Linked DNA regions of Solanum lycopersicum. The protein of the gene in region 1 binds, or shares a complex with, the protein of each later gene. Links are inferred from orthologs where the notes say so. Each region holds a gene or a part of one and is shown in the gene's direction. Other genes may lie near its edges. The genes, in order: mitotic spindle checkpoint protein MAD1, mitotic spindle checkpoint protein MAD2 and mitotic spindle checkpoint protein BUBR1.

Region 1 (4,193 bases):
TGTAGTGTACAAGTAAATAAAAAAAAAAAGTTTTTAAGCACTTGTTTTATTAGTTAGTCTCATGTGCTTATTTTTAGTGGTTAATTATCTTATGCTTACAACAAGTTAAAGTTTTTGCATAGAATACCTTTGTTTTGGGATGATATTAATTTTTTGTCCATTAAATTTATGGTCTTTAATTTTTGCCTTTATTGTCTATTTAATGAAAATTTGTGGACCTAATAAGTACTTTAAATTGTGACCTAAATTTGTTGGGCAAAACTAATATCACAAAGGCAAATTTTTTTAGAGAGTGTTTAGATTGAAGTATAAATTTTATAATATCTGATATTTGGATTTCTAATTTGAGCCACTGAAGCATAACTTGTGTCTTTGAGTTTTTTTTTTTAATGGGGTCTTGGGATCATAATTTGTGTTACTAAATTATTGTTCTAGGATATAGCTTTAACTGAACTTATATCTCGTTTTTCATTTTTTACGCTCTAAAAAATAAAGGAAATTGTATAAAATAGCAAGTTATTAATTCAAATTAAATGTTGTAAACAAGCTTCGATTTAATTGTGCCCTATAGCAAACTATTGTTATTTTCGCCTCTTTACTTGGTGGATCTCGCTCGCCACTCTCGTTTGGTGGCAGTCTCACTCACCTCTCTTGCTTTTTATACAAACACAAATGTATAAAATGCGTTTGTGTTTGTATAAATCGCCAGGAAATTGTATATATACGTATATTTTCGTTTTCCTCTCTCTCCTCTTCCATATCTCGCTCTCCACTCTCCCATATCTCGCTCGCCACTCTCCCAGATCTCGCTCGCCTCTCTCCTTATACAAACAGAAACGAAATGTATAAATTACGTTTCTGTTTGTATAAAGCGATAGAAAATTGTATATACACGTGTAAATGTATATACACTTATAATTATACAATATAAATATTTTCCTACCCAGCTTTTTTTGCTTTTCTCCATTTCTCGTTTTATACATACACCAATTATATAATTGATCTTTTGTATACAACTGTTTTCTTTTGTATATGTATAACGAATTAACAACTGTTTTGTTTGTATGTGTATAGCAAATTATACATCTGTTTTTTTTTTGTATATGTATAACGAAATATACATATTTATATTTGCTATGGATCTTAATTATGCAAACTATAGCTGTAAGCCTATAATAAGCCAATATGAATTTTATGTTTGTTACACGTGAGTGTTACTCAAAAATAAAGATATTAAATATTACTCCTATTTTGAAGAGCAAAAATTAGTGAGAGGCCCAAAATAAGGACATTTGTGGGAATGACCCAAACAAGTGTAGCAGTAGCCCAAAGGGATTCGGGTCATCTCTGGCGACGGATTATTTGGGTCCGATTCACCAATTGGCGCCTCAGTTTTCGAAACACTTGCAGTAGCTGCTTCGCCTCTTACATTTTCATCAATCGCCATCATCGGAGCTTGATTCAATTACTGTAGAAGTTATCAAAACCCTAGTATTATGATCCTGAGAACACCACCATTCAAGCGAAAGGCGCAGAGCAATCAACCGGAAGATGGAAGTCCCAGCTCCGGCAATCAGCAGCTTGTCATCTTCGAGGATACACCGTTGCCGGAATCATCTCACCATCACCCAGAATCTTCCGAACAAATGCTCTGCACTTATCAATGCCGCCAAATGGTATTCATTCATTAATTCCCACTCTCTTCATTACAATTCCAGTATTGAATTGATTTTTTAGTAAATTCAAGGTTTTAAATCAGTGACTGCAGACATAGTGAGGCTTATACCTATTTTTCTTCTTATGTGGTAGTGGAAATTGCAACTATTTATGTATATATCTTGAGATGAAGATAGTAGGTGCACCCATTCCCTTGACTGTTTCAGTTTTTTCGCTTTGTCCACCTAATGAGATTTTCCCAGACTAAACATGTCTGTGATTTTATTGCTACTGGAGTGCTAATTAATCCATGTTAAGAGAATGGTTTTTCGAACTTGGGTTGATTCCTTGATGAGCTTTATATTCAAAGTTTATTCATATGTTGATAGAATTTGCTCTTAGATGTGTATACCAATTCGTAGTTGATTCTTGAGTCAACTTGAGGCTGAGCTTCTTCACAATGAACTAATCACAAGCAAGATTTTTTTATATAAATTAATTAGAACATTGTTTGCTAGTTTTCTGTATACTACTTGCATACAGGTGTTTTATGCCCTCCATTAACACAATCTACTTCATCTTTTTTGATAACACAAATGTACTTACTTCACTAAAGAACAACTTATAATTGCATCTTAAATGGACTCAAATTGAGCTAATCTTGGTTAGCACATTTGGATAGCGTCACAGAAGATGATGGAAGACCTCTGAGTTAAATAATATATTCCTTTAAGTTAACATTCTTGTGTCTCTTATATTGGCCAATGACCGATCAACGGCTCCCTGTCTATTTATTGTACTCAGTTCTTGTGATAGCCTGCACGAGTTTGCTTATATCTATATAAAACAAATTCTGTTATCAGGTGAAGTCAGAGTTTTTTGATGCCTTAAGCAGTGCAGAAAAGCAAGCTCGTGATAACCAATCGAAACTTGAAGCACTAAACAATGATTATCTTAAAGCTGGTGAGTGATAAATATCCAATTCTGTGAATTATGATAGACTGGGTACATGATTTTGTTTCTCCTTGTCCTTTCAACAAACTTTTTTAAAAGTTTACCTTCTACTGCTCAATTTAATGCACTTTTACACCAGAGAATGAAGATTCTTTGATAGAGACATCTATAGAGCACACTACAATTGTTCCTTGGCTAAGCTAATCTTGTTTGTACAGTTCAATTGCTCCCCTGATTTCAATTGTTAAAAGGCTGTCTTCTTTATTTCAAAATTTATATGTGAGAACTGGCAACTTCACTGAAGTAACTTTCCAACATACACACACGTGTTTACATAAATGGATACAGGCATACATATATAGATACACACAAACATACATCCATTCATACACATATTGGAGTGATATTATTTGTCTTCATATCTTTTGTCTCCTTAATCATGTGTTGACTCCTTTGTAGCAACTGTCATGCCTTTTATTTTTCTTTTGTTAATTTCCTTTGTATTTTTTTCTCTCTGTTCACCACTGACCCTTTACTCCACTGGAGGGATAATGACTATTTGGTTTGTAATTCACCTTTTCTGCAAAGTATACTCCAATACTTATTGATTAATTTGCATGATGACATGAATTACACGTGCAGATGCTGAAAGGAAGAAATTTCGTGATCAATTTCTCAATGCAGAGCAAGAACTAGCTGCTGCTAAAGGGCGTGAAGAGGCTCTGCAGGACCAGCTAATGAAGGAGGTCAACGTTTCTCATGAACGGCTCAGAAAACAGTTGCAGTTGTACAATGAACTTGAGGTGCTAGATGTTAATTGTCATTTCTCATTATATTTATGTCACATTCTTGAGAAGAATTAATGGGTTCTCTTTGGCTGGCATGTTTTTAAGCTGCTGTATGAGTTCATCAATAATTTGGTCTAATCTGTAAATTGAACTTAACTTTAAGGCAATTTGGTTTGGTAAGTGTGATAATTTATGCCTAGGAAGAGACTACACTCTCTTTTTGACAAGGAATTCTTAGACACACAGATGGAAGAGATCAAATGGGAATAAGAAGCAATCTCGCTTTCCTTTTCGATCATTTTGATAGAGGGGGATGACGTAAGGGGACGAAACAAATTAGCATTTCTCATTGAACAAATACAAGAAAAAAATCATATTGAAAACACTCAACCCCTTCCTCTGAATAGCCCGTGTATAAGTGATCTGGAGAGGAAACCCACTTGTGGGACTATATTGGGTATGTTGTTGTTGAGGATAATAAGCAGTTTCCACTTATAAATCACTTTGAATATATATCAAATGAGATCCTTCTTAGATTCTACATCTTGAAACCAAGCCAATTTTTGCACTCTGTGCTCCAAAACAACTGGAGTCATCGCATTTACCCTGCAAAAGTCTTGGAACCAACCAAGACTGAACATGGACTCTGTAAGAAGCGAGTCAGACACTATCTTAATCTGATTAGACTGCATCTTAAACTTTATTACATTTTTTTTCTTTCCAACTGAAATAAAAAGTAGCAGGGACCATAATTTTCAAGTTATAATGATAATGACACTGATTTGTGACTAATAA
Region 2 (3,893 bases), on another chromosome or scaffold:
ATATATATATATATAAGTACTATATTTATATACATATAATCCTATACATATAGAGTTTATATTTTGATAGTTATATACAAAAAAATATTTGAGGTATAATATGTATATTTCTGTATATTTAAGTACTATATTAATGTACACATAATTATATACATATAGAGTTTATAGTTATATACAACCATATACATATAGAGTTTATAGTTATATACAACCATAAATAGTTCTTATTTATACAAATAGTTTATATGTGTAACGTATATAATTGAAAATATTAATTAATTGTATAAATATTCGATTTACATATTGACATATACTTTTTATCGTTTTCATAGGGATTTATTTTCATTTGCAAATAACCACGAAAATACGCCCCCCACATGCAGTGGTATACATATACAACTCATACATATAACATTACTCGATTTTTTTAACCAACAATTAGAATAGAATTGTTAATATACAATTTGTTTATATTTTTATGACCAAATATAACTACTTGCAATTTTAAAAATTTCAATTATATACTATGCAAATCAATCTTATTCTTTTTCACACTTTAAAACATGAAGTTTTCTTAAAAGAAAAATATACAAGAATATTGACGAACCATGAATTTTTCATTTTATATTTGCTTTTGTGGTACGAGGATAACAATTGTTATGATGTTTGTATTGTTATAGAACTCTTTTTGAAAAAATATTTGATTTGAAAGATTAACTTGAATCATGGGATTATGCAAGTATTTTGTTACCTTATTACCGTTCATGTATCCATTTATTAAGTAGAATATTACATAAATTATGAAAAATTGCACAAGTACCCTCCTATACTATGTCTGAAATCACAGAGAAACACCTTAACTAAATAAGGTCCTATTACCTCCACCCCCTCCCCTTACACTTATTTTTTGTAACTTTGTGCACCTTTTTAGCTTACGTGACATTCAAATATCTCGTACGTGTCTCAATCGCGTGGAGCCACGAAGTGTGCCACATAAGACAAAAAGTGCTCAAAATTACAAAAAAAAAAGTTCAGGGGTAATAGGAAGTTAATTTAATTAAGGTGTGTCTCTAGAATTCCAGTTATAGTCTGGGGATACTTATGCATTTTCCTCATAAATTATAAACAAAAAAAACTTAATATGCAAATTAAATGCTCCATAGCAAACTAAATTATACTCGTAAAATATAATTATATAAGACAAAAAGTGCTCAAAATTACAAAAAAAAAAGTTCAGGGATAATAGGAAGTTAATTTAGTTAAGGTGTGTCTCTAGAATTTCAGTTATAGTCTGGGGATACTTATGTATTTTCCTTATAAATTATAAACAAAAAAAACTTAATATGCAAATTAAATGCTCCATAGCAAACTAAATTATACTCATAAGATATAATTATATAAACTATACTTATATAAGTTATAAATTTTCAGTGTGGCCCAATTTTTGCACTAAACCCATCTGACCGTTGTTTTGTGTCATTTCCAAAAACTAGCCGTTGCTTCTTCCACTATGTTTCTCAATTCTCATAAAAACCCTAAATTCATCTCTGATTCTCTCACAAGCAATCAATCTCCATAACCATTTTTCTACTTCTATTTCCTAATCTGAAAATGGCGTCAAGAACAGCCTCCAAAGACATAATCACACTTCGTGGTTCCGCCGCAATCGTCAGTGAATATTTTGGCTATGCTGCAAACAGGTAACAACTCGGAATTCCTGTTTTTTTCATATCAAATTTTGGTTATGTAGACTTGCACGTTGTTCACATAGTGATCGGATCTCAGATTTAGATAGATTTCACAAAACCCCTAAATTTGCTTTGAAAATTAATTATCAACCTGAAATTCAGCCCAATGAAATTGGGTTTGAGCAGATTAGTAATGAAATTGGATTGAATAGATTTCATCAATCGATACGTTGTTGATTTTCCGATTGATTGAATAAAATGCTTTGTGTTCTTCGTTTATTTACCTGCATTGGACTAAAATGGGCTACAATAGAGCGGATGAATTGATTTATCTGACTGATTCCAATTAGTTTTACGTTGGCCATCGGCCATTGTTGATTGATTAATTCCTTTTATGTTCGTTGTTTATGGTTTTGTCTGAATGCTGATTTTTTTTTTTTGAATTTGTGCGGGGATTATGTATTTAGCATTTTGTACAACAGAGGAGTATATCCTGAAGAAAGTTTTAAGAAAGTGAAGAAATATGGTCTCACAATGTTGCTTACTGAAGATGAAGGTGTCAAGACCTTTGTTTCCAACTTGACTGCCCAACTTGCTGGTAAGTTGTAGAATTTTGACGAGGCTGTAGATTGGTTCAGATCATATATTAGGTAGTGAAATGATTGTTTTCTTAACGATTTTGTTCATGTAGAGTGGTTGGAAACTGGAAAGCTACAAAGGGTGGTTCTTGTCATCATGAGTAAGGCCTCTGGTGAGGTATTAGAAAGGTGGAATTTCAGTATCGAAACTGATAGTGAGGTTGTCCAGAAAGGGTAAGATGTTAATCATCTTTGGTTAATAATTGTGGATTGAAAGAAGTGTATGTTGGAGTTATTATGGCAGAAGACCTATAATTTCGTTCGTGTGCTTAAATAGTCCAGAGCCAAATACTCAACCCTGGCTTGCTTTTGATGTCTTCGTATGTTGGATTGTTTGTTAAATAATTAGCTAAATGGTTTATTTGATTTTCCAGTGTTTCAAGAGAGAAAAGTGATAAAGAAATAATGAGGGAAATTCAAGCGATTATGAGGCAAATAGCGTCCAGCATCACTTATTTGCCGTGCCTTGAGGAACCATGTAAGCATCATTTGTGCTTGGATGTTACGATACAATGGCAATGTTGCTTTTTTGGGATGTTTCTTGATGAGATTTCTTGTTTCATTTGTGTGTATGGCTGTAGGTGTGTTTGATGTGTTAGCATACACTGATATGGATGTTGCAGTTCCATTCACTTGGATTGAGAGTGACCCTAAACTGATTGCGAATCCACAAATGGTGAAACTGCACTCTTTTGACACTAAGGTAGGAGCAATTTGCTGCTTGATTCTGATACGAATCCCCTGGATATTTCGGTGACCCTAACTCGAGTTTTGTTTTCTCTATGCAGATTCATAAGGTTGACACATTGGTTTCATATAAGAATGATGATGAATGGGATGAGTCCTAGACCATGGATCCTTGTTGTACCTTACTTTTGTTGTCATTGTGAATCATTGATTCACATTTTGTATGTTAGATTGTGTAAACCTTGAAACATCTATTAGTTTGTATCCTGAATGAGTATTGAAGGAAATTGAACAATTAGATCAATTTCTCCGTGTGAACATGTTTTTTGCCTTGTGAAATATATTTGGGTACTTTTTTACACGTCCTTGTTGTCTACACATTGCCATAGCACATAATAATGTTGTTTGCGTCGGCTTGGATTTATACGCAACTCAAATTATGTTGAAATTTTGGTTTTTTTCTTTCTTCCGTCTCCCCCAACTACGCAGGCAATTTCTTGAACGGAGAAAATAAATACTTTTTTTGACTTTTGAAATTTGCCTTCAACATTCTCTAAAAAAGAGAGGTAACGGGGGAAGAAGATCAGTGTGCCTTTTTTATTCTTACATACAAAGTTATCATGCCGTTAAAAATAAATAATCAATTAATGTCATGATCTTTTTGTCGAAGTTAACGGATTGCACATAAATTATAGTGTTTTTAGTCTAATAAAATAAGAAAGTAATAAAAAAATTTGGATCCTCATGAATCGGGAAATTTGAACCCGACGTGAATCGAACACGCAACCTTCTGATCTGGAGTCAGACGCGCTACCATTGCGCCACGGATCCTTGGATGGCTAAAGTCTTCCATTTTTGATAGTCATTACATCTCTGTATT
Region 3 (4,352 bases), on another chromosome or scaffold:
AAGATAATTTCTTTTAAGCTACTAAAATATTTAAAATAATAAATAAAAATGGTTTAATAAAAATAATAAAATTTCTTACCAATTTCCCAGTTGACCTCTTAAAAATAATTTTTAGGCCAACTACATAAACAAATCCCTAAACTTGTTGGGTTTTTCCCCTCATGTACCTCAACTACGTCATTTTTCAATTGAATCATTCAACCACCCATAATTTGTTTCTTTAAAACACTGTTGGTTGATTTTGATCAGCTTTTCTATTGTAAATGTCTTCAATTGTGTTCGAATTGTAATAATTTTGATTGAAGGAATGAAGACTAACTGTGTTAGTCTCATTTGTTTTCTAATGTGTTCAAATGACTCAAGTAAAACATAATTATTCTCAAACATTTTCACTTTCAATTGGACTAATTATTTGTGGAACAACATATGTATCCTCTATCAATACCCCTCACAAATCTGATTTCACATCAGACAACAGTGTTTGATTAAACAGAACAAATTATGGGAGTTCAATTATTCAATAGGAAAATGACGTAGTTAAGGTACCTGAGGAAAAAAACCTAACAAGTTTAGGGATCTGCTTCTGTATTTGGCCTAAATTTTAAATTACTATCCTATTAAATTAATACAACTTAATGAAAAGATAAATTTATTTTTATGAATTTTATCTTAGTATCAAATATAATTAGAAAAAGAAAATATTAAAAAAATTATGGGAGGCAGGTTGAAAATGAAAAGAGTTGTCATGCAGGGCGCGGCGAGGCGCGGCAGATTAAAATTTTTGCGGGTTAAGCTCAACCCGCAACACCCCACCCTACACCACCGCATTGCCATCTCTAATGTATTTTTAATAACTTAATCTTTGTATTTTTTAAAAAATAAATGTTTGAAATTATAAATTTGTATTATTTTTATAATTAACCACTAGTCAATAAATAATATTGATTAATTATTATTTTAACGAAAAAGACTCATAAATATTCATAAACTATCTGAAATAACTCATATTTACGTTTAAACTATATTTCAGTTCAAAACTATCCTTCCCATAATACTATTGGGTCAAAAATATATTTCTTATTAACGGAATTTGTTAAATGTCATGTGGATGTCACATTCCATGTCAATTTGGTTCTACTGCCACATAGAATAAATGGAAAAGGGGTAAAAAATACCCTTAAACTATTCGAAATAGCTCATATTTATCCTTAAACTATATTTCGGCTCAAAACTATCATTCCCGTCAAACTATTAGATTAAAAATATCTTCTTATTGATGAAAATTGTTAAATATTATGTGAATATCAGATTGATTGCAAATAAGATTTCATTGTCACATAAACTAAATCTCTAAATTTGAATTAAATTGAATTAAATATTTTACTAATAGGTCATATTATTAATTTCCGGGTAAATTCCAACGGTCTAAATTCGATGTACTTGGCCCACTTTGTTGTTTGTAGTAGCGCACTCGTTAAAAAACATTACTTATCTTATATTCAATCATGGTGGGACCAATAATATTGCGAAAATCTGGAATTTAAAGGAGGGTCCAACGGCTATGAAAGGAAGGGTTTAGGGCACAAAACAATTTCAAATTTGAAAGAAGGCTCTCAAAAAAACACCACCACAAGGAAGCAGCAAGAAGAAGAAATGGAGAAGGTAGGAGGAGATTACGTATTGGATAAGGAGGCAGAGTTCTTAGCGTCGAAGCAAGAGACTGGTCACGAGTGGGAACTCTTCAAGGAAAATGTCAGACCTTTGAAGAGAGGACGCAACGTTAATCTTCTCAATAATGCTCTTAAGTCTAGTACCGATTATCAACTCAAGAAATCTCTTCTTGACAAACGAAGGTTCCTCTATTTCTTCTTCTTTGCATTTTCATGACATTTACTCCTGAGGTTGGTCCAAAATGCAATTACTATTCCATCCCGCACTAGATTTTGATTAAGATGTACACGCTAGTTGTAGAATAGTAGCAGTTGCTGCATCCCTTATTAATTTTTGAATTCAACTCTTTCTGATTAGGGAATTTATTGAAGCAATTGACAAGTACAAAGGTGAAGATCCTCTTCACCCATGGCTCCAGTGAGTGCTCTTCTTTTCAGATGCAAATAATTTTTCAACTCTTATATCTTCTACTAGCATTTAATGAGTCAATCTCTGTTATTGAATAAACTGCTGACATAATTTTACATTAAAATTGTGAAGGTGCATCAAGTGGGTGCAAGAGGCTTTCCCTCCCGGTGGGGACAGTTCTGGACTTATAGTTATTTATGAACAATGTGTCCGCACCTTTTGGCACGATGAACTATATAAGAATGACCTCCGTTACTTGAAAGTGTGGCTGGAATATGTGAGTTTGATTTCTCCACATCCATTCTTTTGCCCCTAAATCTTCTCATCATGCAATTTGGTAAATCAGTTTTCTTATTGATGGCTCTTTGCAGGCTGAAAATTGTATGGATGCTGAAGTCATTTATAGCTTTCTGGAGGCTAACAAAATTGGACTGACACATTCTTCATTCTACATAGCCTATGCTTTGCACATGGAATCTCAAAATAAAATTAAAACAGCAAACGAGATCTTCAATCGGGGGCTATCTATGTAAGTTGTGTTTCCATTGAGCCTTGGTTTAATTTTAGCCGTAAAGTTAGGTTCTTGCATAGTTAACATTGTGTTTCACTTCACACTAGGCAAGTGAACACGTCTTGGTTCCAGAGAAGTTATGCTATATGTTGTCTATGATGTGAGATGCATCATTCAAATGGTTTATTGAATTGCTGTCTGATATTTTTGTTCAAATAGCGTTTGATATGTCAAGTCTAATGATGTCTACGAAAGTTGCATTAATTGTATGCTAGTATTGAGTAATGTGTGGGGGCTGGGGGGGGGGGGGGGAGGGGATTTATGTTTGAAGCTTCGCCAAAATGAGTTCAGTGTTAAGTATGAAGCTGCACGGATAAGTATGTGGTGTCCCCTTCATATTGACCTACTAATTTTCATACCTTGAATACTAAGACAATTTCATTTGATAAGCTCAGAGGTCAGAACTGTGGTAGATTACATTGCTTACGGTCCCTTATTTTATGTTCTTTCAATATATGCTCATGTGACCGAATAATAAACTAAAGGCCGTGATCGTATGACAGTGGTATGCTTCTAGAAAACTTTATAATTATTAATTGCCATATGATGAACATATTTGATATCCTTATTAAGGAAATTTTGTATAAGCCGAGTAATATGATTATGAAGAACTACATGTATCTTTTTGAATTATGAAATGATTGGTTCCTTTATAGGCATCAATTGAATCAGATAGTACCATGTCACACAATTATGTTAAGCATTTGTACAGGATGAACAACAGAGACGTTATCATTGAGAAATTTGTGCTCTGGAATTAATCATTTATTTAGCTAATATAGATATTTCAGGTATGGCAGCATGCAAAATAGCCAGTGCCACTGTTCATTGAACTTTGCTTAATTACACAACCTAATCATGTTGTTTGTAACTTGTATAGCATGATTTTCTACTAAGAGCATTTCATGCCTTCAAAACAGCAAGTCTCTGTATGTGTTTCTAATAAAATGCTCTAGCTATCAACTGTTGACATAAGAATATATTGAAATATTTATTTCTTGTTCACATTTGCCTCATTCTTGAGGGACCTTTTATATTCTCTCTCTACTTGTTTTAACTTCTGATGGGGATGTGAATGCTATGATGCTGGCCAAACTTGCTGGCAGAATAATGCTACAGCAAGGTGAAAATTCTAATATATTTGGCATGATATTATTGTGGATGCTCAATTGGTTTTAGATATTACCTGACACCTAAATACCTTTGGGGGTAGTTTGGTTGTTGGATAGAGTTGTGCAGGTATTAGTTATGTAGGGTTCAATTATTTACGTATTACTAATTCATGTATTAGTTATACCATCTTCAAAGCTGCATAAAATAATACATAGATTGACGCCTAACTAGTACATGTTTTAGTTATGTGAGATTGTAAACCGTAAGCAAAAAACCATACTTGATGTGCTGAGTTTTATACATAGCAACTAAAATGCTGCCAAAAATGGTACTAGTTTATGCAGATTTTAATATATGAATAATCTAACCAACAACTAAACGACCCCTTGGGCTGCCTCAACAAGATTGTGGATGCTCTTTTTTCAAGCTTTCTTAGCCACTAATGAGTCTTTTCCATTAGAGATACAGTTAATACAAGTACAGAACACTGATTACACCAAGTAACCTTCCTCCTGCTTGTTCTCATCCACTTATAAGCCTATTTACTGACTCCCTCAGCTGGTTTATGATTAAAATTTCCGTCTCCTAT

The links.
Region 2: mitotic spindle checkpoint protein MAD1 (region 1) and mitotic spindle checkpoint protein MAD2 share a complex: the UniProt entries of both Arabidopsis thaliana proteins name them as parts of the mitotic checkpoint complex. The link is inferred for Solanum lycopersicum from reciprocal best matches to the Arabidopsis thaliana genes MAD1 and MAD2.
Region 3: mitotic spindle checkpoint protein MAD1 (region 1) and mitotic spindle checkpoint protein BUBR1 share a complex: the UniProt entries of both Arabidopsis thaliana proteins name them as parts of the mitotic checkpoint complex. The link is inferred for Solanum lycopersicum from reciprocal best matches to the Arabidopsis thaliana genes MAD1 and BUBR1.

The regions. Positions count from the first base shown.
Region 1 is NC_090800.1:87,722,368-87,726,560, reverse strand, and holds the start of mitotic spindle checkpoint protein MAD1, read left to right. Parts: upstream 1-1,253; 5' UTR 1,254-1,496; coding exon 1,497-1,676; intron 1,677-2,519; coding exon 2,520-2,619; intron 2,620-3,252; coding exon 3,253-3,413; intron 3,414-4,193. UniProt on the Arabidopsis thaliana protein: Required for the execution of the mitotic checkpoint which monitors the process of kinetochore-spindle attachment and delays the onset of anaphase when this process is not complete.
Region 2 is NC_090804.1:8,537,854-8,541,746, reverse strand, and holds mitotic spindle checkpoint protein MAD2, read left to right. Parts: upstream 1-1,429; 5' UTR 1,430-1,611; coding exon 1,612-1,700; intron 1,701-2,155; coding exon 2,156-2,286; intron 2,287-2,379; coding exon 2,380-2,500; intron 2,501-2,700; coding exon 2,701-2,804; intron 2,805-2,907; coding exon 2,908-3,029; intron 3,030-3,114; coding exon 3,115-3,174; 3' UTR 3,175-3,374; downstream 3,375-3,893. UniProt on the Arabidopsis thaliana protein: Required for the execution of the mitotic checkpoint which monitors the process of kinetochore-spindle attachment and delays the onset of anaphase when this process is not complete.
Region 3 is NC_090803.1:68,279,388-68,283,739, reverse strand, and holds the start of mitotic spindle checkpoint protein BUBR1, read left to right. Parts: upstream 1-1,462; 5' UTR 1,463-1,653; coding exon 1,654-1,853; intron 1,854-2,028; coding exon 2,029-2,088; intron 2,089-2,211; coding exon 2,212-2,356; intron 2,357-2,450; coding exon 2,451-2,608; intron 2,609-4,352. UniProt on the Arabidopsis thaliana protein: Essential component of the mitotic checkpoint. Required for normal mitosis progression. The mitotic checkpoint delays anaphase until all chromosomes are properly attached to the mitotic spindle.